Linked DNA regions of Arabidopsis thaliana. The protein of the gene in region 1 interacts with the protein of each later gene in a pairwise test. Each region holds a gene or a part of one and is shown in the gene's direction. Other genes may lie near its edges. The genes, in order: AHP4, CRF3, CRF7 and CRF6.

Region 1 (4,144 bases):
AAATTAAGATCACATATATATATAAAGGAATAATTGGATTGTGTAACACATATACAACAAAATTTAGATAAATGTCATGAATTTTGTCCTCTTTTATTAGAATTTTATCTTGTATAATACTAAAAGGTAAACATAATAACATTTGATTTAAATACAAAATTGGGGTTTATCATGTAAAACCAACCTCACAAGTTTTGGAATGAATTGTTTTGTTTCTTCTAATTTTGTGGTATTACATATTTGTTATTAGAGGGGAGGTCGGAATTAAGGAGAATAATCGAGATGAGACAGCAAGCAATAATAAAACTTAGATTCTAAACCCACTTCCACCGAAAATATGTAGTAGACAAGTCCTTTATGTGAGATTGGTTTGGTGGGCGGAGGAATAAATAAAGCTGATTTTTTTTTGTATATGATCAATCTCTCTCTCTTCTGTAATTCGATCTCACGATGCTTGTCTGAGAGAGAAAGAGATATAGAAAGGAACAAATTATGCTGTAATGATAAAAAGATCTTTTATGTCTTTGTGTCAATCATTTAGATCACACTTGTTATGTGCTCTTCAGTTTTTCCTTTTTAGATACTTGTTCCTTGTTTCCAATAACAGAAATTTATGGTTTATTTTTTACTCGTTGGATATATGTATACCTTATTCTCTCTCTCTCTCTTTTTGGTTTCCTACTTCTTTCTTTTTTTGTTACAATATAGAAGTAGGAAACACACGCATCCGCACAAGTACTAGCCTTTCCTTGGCACACAACACCCTCTCACCTCCACACATTAATGGAAGAAACTTGGAAAAGATTTGCATCTAATTTTTCAATGTTTGTTGCAGCGGTCAAAGAGAAAGAAAACACATCAAACAGAAAACCCCAATAGAAATCTATTTATTTCTGGTCTTGATCATGATACTAACCTTGACTATGTTTTTAATATAAAAATGTCGTTTAATGTTTATCACAAGATATAATCCTTACTTAGTAATTGAATTCCGGACCCCAAACTAAAATACTTCGAATTAGTATTGCTTTCTGTTGTTGAAACAAAAGATAAGCAATAATAGTGTTTGCTAGTGTGCTAGATTCCAACAATTTTTTCTTCCAAAAGTACAACTTTTTTTTGCCCATTTCGTAAATTCATATGTACATATATAGTTGAATGTTGTGGGTGTACGTAATTGGTACCATTAAAATCAGGAAATCACAACCTTAAAAATAACAAAAAAAAAAAGAAAAAAGAAAAGACAATGATATTATAGAAAACTTTGTGAAAACATGAATTAAATTCAGTAATTAATCAAGACGGAAATGGTCTGTTCAGAATATTTTTCTTGAACTGTATACTTTTTCAATCTATAACTTTCTTTTTCACTTTCAGGAAAATTCGTGTCCACATACATTTTACTAGTATATATTTGCCTCATTTCCAAAGGTGTGTTTCGTATAGTATCAACGTTTAGCTTTTAGGTTCTATATTCGAAATTTTACATGTTTCTATGATGTACGTATATATATAATATTAGTCGTATTCCCATTCGTGAGATCCTTTGATTACTTATTAATTAAGATGCATTTCAGTTATATTTTTGGGCAATAGATCAATCATCCACAGTAGTTTAAGTTTCATAATGGACCATACTATTAATTAAACAATCAACATTGAGGAATTCTCTAATTGAAATCTCTTATTCAAAACTTTAACATAAACACTATCTTATATATATAAAAGATTACTATACATTCAAACTTATATATCAACACACATATATGATCATTTGATAACACCTACCATTTGTGTTATACATATATTTTATAGAGAAGTTATAGAAAATTATACTGAGTATACATCTATGTGTCATCGAAATAAGCTGATAATAACGAATACACGTTTTCTTTTTATGTCTGGAGTAGAATACAGCATTCATGCCCTTACGTTGCAGGTTCCCATCATTTTACAAATATTCTCTTCTCTTTTCTACTTTCTCTTTTTTGATGTAATACGATCTATTTATTTATTCTATATTTCACTATATATATCTCAGATGTCCAACGTTTCAGTATTGCATTGCCACTCGAATTACCTAAGATAAAAACGAATTATCACTTTGATTTTTCGCACTTATAGTTAAATCTATTCTCAAAATTTAAACAAACATGCAGAGGCAAGTGGCACTCATCAAGCAGTCCCTCTTTGATCAGGTTTTGGTCGTTTGTTTCTTCGTATTTTCGTAATATAACTTCGTACGTCGTACCACTTATATATGAATTTCTTCATATAATTTAGAAAATGACTAATATAGGAAAATGCATGCAGGGATATCTCGACGAACAATTCATGGAGTTAGAAGAGCTCCAAGATGATGCAAACCCTAATTTTGTTGAAGAAGTTTCCGCATTATACTTCAAAGATTCAGCTCGGTTAATCAATAACATTGACCAAGCTTTGTGAGTATTATTTTGTTTTCTATTATATATATATTTTTTTTTTTTCAGTTTTCTAATCATTTTTACAATGCAGGGAAAGAGGATCATTTGATTTCAATCGGCTGGATAGTTACATGCATCAGTTTAAGGGAAGCAGCACGAGGTAATTTCCCCCCTTAGTTTTTGACTATTCTAATTACGCCTTCAAGAAATAATTTTACTTAAAGAAATGCGAATACTTAAATGTTTATAAGATAAAAGAATGTAACGCAAAAGTACATTAAAATTACTTCCATTCTCATTCAGGATTCAATGACAGAATCTACTTTAACCAGAAATAATTAGATTTTATGATCGTTAGTTATACTGACAAATGTTGCATTTCTTTTTTTTGTAGCATTGGGGCAAGTAAAGTGAAAGCTGAATGCACTACGTTTAGGGAATACTGCAGAGCTGGAAATGCGGAAGGGTACTTTCGTCTTTATACTTATATACCTTCATGCTTCTCGTTTTTAACAGAAAACTAAGTAACGGGGTCAAAATGAAAATAAGTATAGTTTAGATGGCTAAAATTGCTGCAATTAATCCGCTGAACCTTGAACTTTTACTTTACTTCATTTTCGACCCCCTAATTAGTTTTCTTCGCTTTTTCTTACTTGCAGATGCTTGAGGACTTTCCAGCAACTGAAGAAAGAACACTCAACGTTGAGAAAGAAGCTTGAACATTATTTCCAGGCGAGCCAATAATCAATTATGCTTAATAATTTACATAATTAGAATGTGATTAGAAGTTATCATCAATCACTTTTGATATAGTATTTGCTGAAGTGAAATTTTTTGTAATGAACAGTTGGCAAGGCAGGCGGGGCCTAAGGAGACAGCACGTAGGCCCAAGTAAGAGAGAAAGAGAGAGAGACAGAGATAAATGAGGAATCGTCGTCGAATTTTGTAGCAAAACTATATAATAAATAGTTCCTCTTTATTTTTATATATTTCGATGTACGTTATAAAGAAGGTTTTGGACTTTTATATTATGTCCGTTAATAAACGGTCCAAATGTCTCTATGTTTTTCCCCTTATATCGCCAAATTTTCCCTTGGGAGTTTTATAGCTACGATTACCTCGTAACATATGGCTTCCTCTAATAACGGAATACAGAAAAGAGTGGACCAAAAAAATGCATTTTTTCGATTCTATGATGAATGCATTACCTTGTTTACAAAAGGAAAAAAAAAAGAAACTAAGCTTTACATTATTCGGTTTGTTTCCAGGAACCGTGTCCAAATCCTAAATATTCTTACCTATTTTTATATCATTATGTTAATATTTGTCTCTACTAGTACTGATTAATAAATATTTAAAAAAGAAAAAAAAAACCAAAATATTCTTAGGTAAAAGTCTAAAATAACATTATCATTATGTTACTATTTGTCTCTACTAAAACTAATTATTAAAAAAAAAAGAATGCCATGGCTTAGATGCAAACTATTCTTAGCTAAAAGTCTAAAATAATAACATTATCATAAACAATTAATATTACACTTTTCCATCTAATTTCTCTTACATGCCCTATTTTTCAAACGATGTCGTTTAAGAATATCACATAGACCTTCTATTTCATGAAAAAACTAACTCACCAATGCAAATAAATAAATCAAATGTTTGTTTGTGGATAAAGTAAAACGTTTTCTTTCAATGGCCCAGCATTTACTAAAATTTAT
Region 2 (3,658 bases), on another chromosome or scaffold:
TTCTAAATCATGCATCTATGTTAATTTAGACCAGTTTTGTTTTTGGCTTAACTGTCTTTAACTCTTTAATATATGTACATGCATAGAGTTTGTGTTTTGTGTTTAAGTTATATGTATGTAAACTAGCTTTTAATTTGACACATTTTCTCTATCAAATGTACATGGTTTATGTTTATTGAGCAACAAAAAGTCTTTTACATCTTCAAGTTATTTAAATGTTCCTATTTAATATATCAGAAATGTAACATCACATATTTCCGAGAAAAAAACGATTCTAAATTACACTATTTATGAACTAGAGAGAGTAAAATTTAAAATTAAAATGGCTACTTAATTAAAATACAATCATAATTTTTTTTATTTAAAAAGCAAGTATATCATATCTTGGTTTACAATAACATAATTTCAAATCTCATTGCCATCCAAACAGAAAAATAATTTTTTTACTAGTCCAAAAAATTAGGAACAGATGTAGTAAGCTTTGATATCCCTAAACCCAAGTAAAAACCCCAACAAAAAGATATTAGTAGAAGATTGTTTTTACAACAAATCAAAAATATAGTTTTCAAAAAAAAAAAAAAAAAAAGATACTTGAGAAGCGCGTGGAAAGTACGAATAGCAAGCAGTGGTGGAAGAGCGAGTGAGGGAACAAAGAGTACAGAAAAAAGCCTAGAGACGTACCACACCACCGAATTATAAATGGCGGCAAATCCTAGGTTGCTCGCCACGTTACTTCTAGCTGTAAAATGGTAACATTTCAATTTAACTACCATATTTATATTGATTCAAAGATATTTTCGTCCTAAAATCATTTTAATATCTAAAATTAAATACATAACTTCCTCAGTCACATATTCATCTTCCCTAAATTAACATTATTCGATTATCTAACATGGAAAAATGTATATTGTATAATACAACGTATTCAACTTTGACAAAATCGCATTTATTTTATTTCCCTAACAGTTAAAAAATCGCATTTATTTTATTACCCTCAACATTCGTACGTGACAAGTTGAAAAATTGCATTCAAATAGACGAAGTTACCCTCAACAATCATCATTAATTACTTAATGTCGGTCAAAGCTAGTGGAGTGATAAAAAATTTGTTGAGAAGTAGTAAGTAAATTTGTTTTTATTATTAGTATCAAATAAACTAAAAAGGTAAAAAAAAATTTAAAAAAACCGGGACCGGGTATCTTGGGGGTCACGTGACATGAATCGCGAAATTCGAGACTAGAAGCCACGCGCTGACTCAGCACATACAGGAAGGAGCCAAATATCTAATATCGCCACGTGTCACCATGCGACTTGCGCTCATGAATGCGGCGTCCCGTATTTTTAAACAACTCTCTTATACCCGAAACTACCCTTGGAGTTTTGTAGTTAATTACGGAAAAATGCCACTGATGGAGGAGCGGAAAGAAACAGCTTCGACAAGGAAAGAAATCAAATGATATTAAATATTATATATTATATAGTTTTCGAATTTATTGTTTACTTTTGTAAAAATGAATAAAATAATTATGGCTAAAACCCCGAAGAGATCCTATAAATTAGCATTTCAAGAGTGAGCTAGAGAAGGTCTCCACTTGCGAATCGCTAAAAAAAATCACTGTTTCATAACACGTTTTTCTCTCTCACCCACCAAAAAAAAATCTTTTGTTCTTGTTACCAAAAAATCTCGTGATAAATCTCTTCAAACTTTGTTTTATTTTCTTCTTGATTCTCTCGAAATCTCTCTCAACAAACCCAGAAACTTTCCTTGATTCGCAAGCTTTTCTTCCTTTTATATTCTTCATTTTGATGCGAATATAGAGAGAGTCCATAAAAGAAACAGTAATGGACGAATATATTGATTTCCGACCATTGAAGTACACAGAGCACAAGACTTCAATGACTAAATACACCAAAAAGTCATCGGAAAAACTTTCCGGTGGTAAGTCATTGAAAAAGGTTAGTATTTGTTATACTGATCCTGACGCAACAGATTCATCAAGTGACGAAGACGAAGAAGATTTCTTGTTTCCTCGCCGGAGAGTCAAAAGATTCGTTAACGAGATCACTGTTGAGCCTAGCTGTAACAACGTCGTCACCGGAGTTTCGATGAAAGATAGAAAGAGACTCTCTTCTTCCTCCGATGAAACTCAATCTCCGGCGTCGAGTCGTCAACGTCCTAATAACAAAGTTTCAGTCTCCGGTCAGATAAAGAAGTTCCGTGGTGTTAGACAACGGCCATGGGGGAAATGGGCGGCGGAGATTAGAGATCCGGAGCAACGTCGGAGGATTTGGCTCGGGACTTTTGAGACGGCGGAGGAAGCTGCCGTGGTTTATGATAACGCCGCTATAAGACTCCGTGGACCGGACGCTTTAACTAATTTCTCCATACCGCCTCAAGAAGAGGAAGAAGAAGAAGAACCGGAACCGGTTATTGAGGAGAAACCGGTTATTATGACGACGCCAACACCAACAACATCGAGTTCTGAATCAACTGAAGAAGATTTACAACATCTCTCATCTCCTACTTCGGTTCTCAATCACCGGTCAGAAGAGATTCAACAAGTACAACAACCGTTTAAATCAGCTAAACCCGAACCGGGGGTTTCAAATGCACCATGGTGGCATACCGGGTTTAATACCGGTTTAGGTGAATCAGACGATTCATTTCCTTTGGATACTCCGTTTCTTGACAACTATTTCAATGAATCACCACCAGAGATGTCAATATTTGACCAACCAATGGATCAAATTTTCTGTGAAAATGATGATATCTTCAATGATATGTTGTTCTTGGGTGGTGAAACTATGAACATTGAAGATGAGTTAACAAGTTCTAGTATCAAAGATATGGGTTCAACGTTTAGTGATTTTGATGATTCATTGATATCAGATCTATTAGTTGCTTAATATGATGATGAGAGTGAAGAAGAAACCATCAAGCAAATATCTATGGTGTGACTGAAAAATTTTGGTGTTACTTTTTTTTCTTTCATAAGTTCATGAGCTTTTTTGTTTCTTTTTTAATAATTTATTTAGTTTTGTCAGGAGCTTGTAAAACAGTTTTGGAGAAATAGTGGAAAAATAGTTTAATTATTCTGTATTCTTTATTTATTTAAGTAATTGCGTTATTAGTTGCACGAACGTGTTTAATTTTCAAAGCATTTGGCATTTATTTATTTTTTGTTAATTAATTATTTAATTTTAGAAAAGCCAAAGTGGCATTCTCTTTGTAAAGTCATACTATGAGGCGCAAATTACGGTCGTGGCCAGTGAACTGAGAGGTTTTGGCCTTTGGGTTTGGTCTGGTTGAGAAGAGGTGTTTTGTCTTGTAATAGTCATGTTAATCTTAAATTTTGTCAGTAATATAAACTTCAAAATAAAATGTAAATTAATTAATTGTACAGAACACAAAATTATATCATTTATTATTCCGAAAATTACTATCAAATCCTAAATTCGAACATTATCAGAAATTCATGTTTATGATGGAAATGTTTTGGAAAGAGTTCCAAACACATCACAAACTTTTTGTAACCATTTTCGAATATCATTCAAGAACTCTTTCTAAAGACAAGTGTGTGGCAATGTTCTAGAATTCGAACATGTTGGTGGTAGGTGTTTTTTTTAGATGGATTTTTGGGATCCATATGACATTTTA
Region 3 (3,385 bases), on another chromosome or scaffold:
AACTAAAAACAAAACAAAATCGAACTGAAAAAACCCCTAAAATAAGAAGAAATATAAACAAAGCGACAACGAAACATAACAAGAACGAGAAAGTACGTTGGGGGATTGAATTCAGCTCCAAAATAAGTGTGGTTCTATGAAATTTTTCAGACCTATTATTGATAACATTTCTAAGATGGATATGGACGTTTATACATATAATATGGTAGTCCCCTAGATTTTATAATAAAATTTGAAAAACGTTATTTAAAGAAATGTATACGGTGGCCATTTTTCAATCCAGATTAGAGAAGTAATTGTGGTCGTAGAATATTAATTCATGCATGTCCTCATAGTCAATTTTACAAAAAATCAGAAAGTTTAGTCTTTCACTGATGTGACCTGTGGAACATCATGATATTTTATGAATGTTAAATTTACCATTTTTTTGTTTTGACAGCTTATAAAATCAGATAGTTTATACGTTAACCAAAAGTGCCGTGTCAAATAATACGACTTCCGGCCCATAGATTTCTTTTATCTGGCTACAAATGAAAAATGTTTAGTTATACATATTTTATAGAGTCTTATGTCATGTTCTTATATTTTGTGGTACTTACTTATACACCAGGAAAAACAATCAGTGGTCACGAGAATACTTTAAAGTAACAGAGAGTTGATTGTGCTTAAGAATAAACTTAATTGGAAAAATTTGGTTTAGGGGAAGATTAGGTTGATATTTTGGTAAACGTCCCTTTTACCTGTTCGGTTTTATCTTCTCTTCATATTTAGTGGTGCAACGCAACTTCTGGAGATGAATAATTTATAGTCCTGTAACTTGTGGAGGCGAATAATAAATAATTCAGTCATATCATATGCATATATGAATATATGAGAAAACGATATTAATATAATTAATATCGTTGTAACTTGTAAGTGCGTCATATATAGTTGAAATCATACGAAAGATATCGCAATTAAGGATCAATCGAAGAGTAATATTATATTATTTCACACTTTTTCAAACCTGGTCTTACACATAACACATCTTATAAAACATGATATCATGCGTTTTACGTTAATTGGTTGATAATTTGATTCACTGAGTGGGTTTTACGTTTTCTTGTTGATTAAGATTTAGGGTATAAGCAAGTTAACTAAGCAACTATAGGGTACCAAAACTATCTTTGTAAAATAAACATATACAACAAATGTTTTGATAGAGTTCATGAAATTGTACAATGCATAAAATAAAACATTGAGAAGTTCTAACTGAGTGGTCACATATGTTAGCGGTCCATACATAATTTAATTCGTCATCATTAGAGAAACAATATTGCAAATATACTAAATCTGAGTTTGAGAAAAAATATAGCTTGTAGACACACTTCAGTACCTAGTGATCAAATTATCATATGACATATGATACTTATGTGAGTGTGACTATGTAATTCCTAGTTGAAAAAATACATTGATGATTGAAAATTACAGTCTAGAAATTATACCAACTAAATTACCTTGGTACAACTTATATAAGTAAGTAGTCCCTATAATAAGCCTACACTCTCTACAAAATAAGTAAAGGAGAAGCCTTGAAGGAGAACAACATGTCAATTCAAAATAGTCATGGAATCACTAAAAGGCCTTAAAGAAGTTCTTAAGGCCCAAAATAAATAGGTTTTTCGGAATTTGAAGTCCAGTTTTCTGCGAACCAGACTAGTTCTGCTCACTTTGGGTTCTTTCAGGTGGGCTTGAAAACTAGACAACTGAGTCAGACCAAGATCTTTTTTTCTTTTCAAATCAATATTGTTGTTGTTGTTGTTGTAAATCAATCTTTGTGTAGAAAAAAAAGTGAAAAAAATGATCTTGTTATGAAATTCAAAATCCATACAGTATTTGTTTTTCCTTCATGATTTTACTTTTTTACCAATTAACTTAATAATATTTTTGTCCGAAAACAGATTTTTCGAAATATTTGTTGGTCATCAATTTTGAATTCAAAACCGACTTGATGAGATTGATCAATAGTTCAATACTCATAATTACACACGGATTCTAAAAGATAAGAGAAACAGTAAGTCGGTTAATTTTGGATTAAGTAACGCACAAGCCAAAGCCTTCTCCTGATCGAATCATAAACCAAACAAATCTTTCTTTTAAAAGAAGCGGACACAAACCCTAACCACCAACCCTCTCCGTCGTCAAATTTCCCGGCGAAAGATGAAACGAATTGTTCGAATTTCATTCACAGACATGGAAGCAACCGATTCTTCAAGCAGCGAAGACGAGTCACCACCGTCATCACGCCGTCGAGGTAAGAAGCTAGTCAAGGAAATCGTAATCGATCATTCTGATCCCCCGGAGGTCGGAAAAACTCGGTTCAAAATCAGGATTCCGGCGAGTTTACTTGCTGCGAGGAATACGACGGCGAATAAGAAGAAGTTCCGTGGCGTGAGGCAGAGACCATGGGGGAAGTGGGCGGCTGAGATTAGATGTGGTAGAGTTAAAGGAAGACCTGAACGAATTTGGCTTGGAACTTTTGAAACAGCTGAAGAAGCTGCTCTTGCTTATGATAACGCTGCGATTCAGTTGATTGGACCTGATGCGCCGACTAATTTTGGCCGTCCTGATGTTGATTCTGCGGTGGTGAAAAAGCAAGATTCTGATGCTAGTGGTGGTGCTTCTGAAGAAGTTGTTTGATTTTCTTGTTTATAACTAACTTTGCAAGGTTACTTTTGTTTATCATCATCTTTTGTAAATTTGATCATCTTGCTCTTTGCTTTTTAACTTCTCTTGTACATGTTTGAATTATAAAAGTTCTAATTTTTCAATCCAGATTCTTGGTTTTCATAATTGTACATTTTGATCAGCATAACTATTGCTTAAAATTTCCATATTGGTTTTACCTTAATTGATCAAAAGTCTTTCTTTTGGATCGAAATTGAGACAATTGTTCTACCAACTGTACTTGAAAAACTGCTATATTTCTCTTGCAATTTGGTTATCTCCTGATCTCTTTTACTTATGATGACTCTGTTAGATGCTGCTTTCATGAGCGTTTCTTTGTTAAACTAACTTGGTCGGTCTTGTTGTCACTTTCACCAACTGAAAAGAATTAATATGTTTTAAGTATGTTAAATTGCTGTCAAGCTAGCTAGGGATGTTGTACCGACCAGCGGAACCGGTGGAGCAGTAACTGATTTATTAAAAAAGGTTGTGAAAAAACTGATCTGGTTAACTTTTTGAGCCGGTCCTCCTCAGTAGGACCATCTTTGTCAAAACTTTGATCAGACCGAAAAGCTGTGTTCAACCACATTAGCCTAAAGCTTAGCTCACAAAGACCATCAGAACAGAACAGGCTGAATCATCATCACATATTTTTTTAACAAAACCATATAACAAACTA
Region 4 (3,442 bases), about 17 Mb from region 1:
GACAATTTAAGAGAGACCACTCTCTAGTCTCTACCTAGTAAAAGTAGTACCTACTACGACTATCCTAACGAATGTCATGCAATTTAATGTTCCATATACAATTTTTTTTTTTTTAATATATTAAAAACAACCCAATAGGGCATGGGCTAAGACCCAATACACAGATGAAATCCAGTTACAAAATAGGTTAAACAGAAAAAGTCACCGACAAACAAAGAGGTTCGAACCTTGCTGCTGGTCGGAAGCAGAGTGGTCGGAGCCTTATATCTGGCGGACTCAAGCATCACAGCTTTGCGGCCGCAGACGACGGATCGAGAAACGCAGCTGGAAGATTCCGGTTTCCATCTGCACCTATCTCCGCCGTCGCACCAACCCACCACAACTCTCCCAGAAAGCTAACCACTCCGACTTACCGGTTCCGCGATATCTGTTCCATGCCAAGCAACCCGATACACTAGAGTTTAACCCCTCTCCGACTTAATGTTCCATATACATACTACTAACTATTATTAAATCAAACTGACTGTTATTTTTAAGGTCTAACTTTTAACACGAGTACCTGACTAATCCCACGTAAAAAAAAAGTCTTGAAATCACATGTATCTTTTTATAAAATCACAGGTGAATTCGTGTAAGTTATATAAGGTTCAAAATAAAACAATATAGAATTACTGTAAGTTACAAGATTTGGTATATTAACTTGTAGAATTATCGATATAATAAAAGCTTATTTTTCAATTATTATTTTAGGACCAAATCTAGTCAAAGCTCAACCATTAACTATGGAAATCTAATTTCTAGTTACCTTTTTAATAGTAGCTTTTTCTAATAAAGTTTCTGATAAGAGACTTGGTCTCCAAGCAAAAGATCATAAATTTTTTCCGAAATTAAAAATATATTTTAATATTAAAGACGAGATTTTATTACTCTTTCAAACACATCGTTAGATTCATTACCATTAAACTTCACAATTTCCATATTGGGTCAATGCGAATTGACACATACTCGTGACCAATCTCACACGCGTGGAGCCCACTAGCCGGCGCGTGTAGCAAACGTAAAACAGACCGCGCGTAAAAGAGTTAAAAGTTGCTTGGAGACCAAGCTATAGATTAGGACAATTGGCTCTACTTTCGGTACGGTAACTACCACGTGTCATAAATCTAACGTCTCAATCTGAGATGCGGAAAGCCGTTTCTGGATCCCCCATTGGCCGCCACGAAACCGCCCTTAAGCATCGTCCCTCTTTACATTAAATCCAAATCTAATTCCCGGTTTATAAACTCCATTAACCGGATTAAATTTCAATAGGTTAAGCTTTGATAAACGTATGTCATTTCACCAACTATATTTTAAGATACGTTTAGTTATAAGGTTGAATGAGTTTTGATTGGGTCAGTGTCTCATATCATATGAATAGTGTTGAACACGCATCAATTTCTCTGTAACAGTTAAAATCTAATTAAATTAATTACATAGAAAAAATCACGTTACTAAACAAAAATCTCCAAAAATAGTGATGAGTTAATAGTATTTAAGAAGGATGTTCCTGAGAAACGGCGATTCTTCTTTAACCTTTTGACTCTTCTTCTCTCTCTCTCTGCAAATTCAAAACAGTGAAAAAAACCTCTCTTCATTTTTTAACTCCCTCTCTCTCTCTCTCTCTATGGAGAGACGAACGAGACGAGTGAAGTTCACAGAGAATCGTACGGTCACAAACGTAGCAGCTACACCATCTAACGGGTCTCCGAGACTGGTCCGTATCACTGTTACTGATCCTTTCGCTACTGACTCGTCTAGCGACGACGACGACAACAACAACGTCACGGTGGTTCCAAGAGTGAAACGATACGTGAAGGAGATTAGATTCTGCCAAGGTGAATCTTCTTCCTCCACCGCGGCGAGGAAAGGTAAGCACAAGGAGGAGGAAAGCGTAGTGGTTGAAGATGACGTGTCGACGTCGGTGAAGCCTAAAAAGTACAGAGGCGTGAGACAGAGACCTTGGGGAAAATTCGCGGCGGAGATTAGAGATCCGTCGAGCCGTACTCGGATTTGGCTTGGGACTTTTGTCACGGCGGAGGAAGCTGCTATAGCGTACGATAGAGCCGCGATTCATCTCAAAGGACCTAAAGCGCTCACGAATTTCCTAACTCCGCCGACGCCAACGCCGGTTATCGATCTCCAAACGGTTTCCGCCTGCGATTACGGTAGAGATTCTCGGCAGAGCCTTCATTCACCGACCTCTGTTCTAAGATTCAACGTCAACGAGGAAACAGAGCATGAGATTGAAGCGATCGAGCTATCTCCGGAGAGAAAGTCGACGGTTATAAAAGAAGAAGAAGAATCGTCGGCGGGTTTGGTGTTCCCGGATCCGTATCTGTTACCGGATTTATCTCTCGCCGGCGAATGTTTTTGGGATACCGAAATTGCCCCTGACCTTTTGTTTCTCGATGAAGAAACCAAAATCCAATCAACGTTGTTACCAAACACAGAGGTTTCGAAACAAGGAGAAAACGAAACTGAAGATTTCGAGTTTGGTTTGATTGATGATTTCGAGTCTTCTCCATGGGATGTGGATCATTTCTTCGACCATCATCATCACTCTTTCGATTAAAAATCTCTTCTTTTTTGGGGAAATTTTTGTGTGGTGATGATGACGTGGATACATCGTGACCGTCGGCTTACCTTTTTTAGTCTGAATGACGTGGACTGTTCAGATCAACTGAAGCGCAAACCCAAAAAAACTAGGGTTTTGTTTTATTAATTTGTGGGTAAATATTTTAGTTAAGAAGAAGATAAGTATGTTAATGTTTATCAAGGTTTGGACCTTTCGTTGTTTTGGTTCCTCTCTCTGAGATTGTCTCAACGGTAGGAAGCAGTATATAAATGTGTTTCTATGTCTATAAATTATTTATGAAAAACAAATCGTATGGAATTTTATTATGATTATGCGACAAGTGAAACAAGTCTTTACTTCGAAGTAAAAAAACAAAAAAAAAACTTATTCACAAATAGAATTGTCAGAACAGTCTTGGAAATTCAAGAAAAGTCATGATCTTGACTAATTATAAATGAATGATTGTATCATATTATTGATATCATCTTTTGTGATTAGAGATCAAAAAATATTTATATATATAGTACTTTAAAATATAAAAAATTATATTTTAAATAGTAATCACCATGCACCAACACCTCTCTTCTTCTTTTTTTTTTTTTTTGCATATGCAATTGTTGTTTTGTTGTGACAAATAAAATAAAACTGTGGTGCTCCTATCTACCAATTATTATGAAGCGATGTCATGGTTTACTTATCGCTTTCTACAAAAATGTTCTCAGTCATGTAGAATTGGTGCTGGTTTTGTTGAGTGTATTAAATGTAAATCCGTATCCTTTTTTTATATATAACATAAATCTTTAATATAAAGTATGTGACAAATTG

Evidence for each region.
Region 2: the proteins of AHP4 (region 1) and CRF3 interact in a protein complementation assay, tested with the Arabidopsis thaliana proteins (one study listed by BioGRID).
Region 3: the proteins of AHP4 (region 1) and CRF7 interact in a protein complementation assay, tested with the Arabidopsis thaliana proteins (one study listed by BioGRID).
Region 4: the proteins of AHP4 (region 1) and CRF6 interact in a protein complementation assay, tested with the Arabidopsis thaliana proteins (one study listed by BioGRID).

What each region holds. Positions count from the first base shown.
Region 1 is NC_003074.8:5,552,198-5,556,341, forward strand, and holds AHP4 (HPT phosphotransmitter 4), read left to right. Parts: upstream 1-1,999; 5' UTR 2,000-2,153; coding exon 2,154-2,198; intron 2,199-2,276; exon of another isoform or gene 2,277-2,286; coding exon of another isoform or gene 2,287-2,313; coding exon 2,314-2,444; intron 2,445-2,517; coding exon 2,518-2,586; intron 2,587-2,820; coding exon 2,821-2,892; intron 2,893-3,085; coding exon 3,086-3,158; coding exon of another isoform or gene 3,159-3,170; exon of another isoform or gene 3,171-3,196; intron 3,197-3,273; coding exon 3,274-3,321; 3' UTR 3,322-3,592; downstream 3,593-4,144. UniProt on the Arabidopsis thaliana protein: Functions as a two-component phosphorelay mediator between cytokinin sensor histidine kinases and response regulators (B-type ARRs). Plays an important role in propagating cytokinin signal transduction through the multistep His-to-Asp phosphorelay.
Region 2 is NC_003076.8:21,617,210-21,620,867, reverse strand, and holds CRF3 (cytokinin response factor 3), read left to right. Parts: upstream 1-1,586; 5' UTR 1,587-1,842; coding exon 1,843-2,907; 3' UTR 2,908-3,154; downstream 3,155-3,658.
Region 3 is NC_003070.9:8,134,640-8,138,024, reverse strand, and holds CRF7 (Integrase-type DNA-binding superfamily protein), read left to right. Parts: upstream 1-1,990; 5' UTR 1,991-2,199; coding exon 2,200-2,679; 3' UTR 2,680-2,845; downstream 2,846-3,385.
Region 4 is NC_003074.8:22,803,608-22,807,049, forward strand, and holds CRF6 (cytokinin response factor 6), read left to right. Parts: upstream 1-1,572; 5' UTR 1,573-1,666; coding exon 1,667-2,614; 3' UTR 2,615-2,920; downstream 2,921-3,442.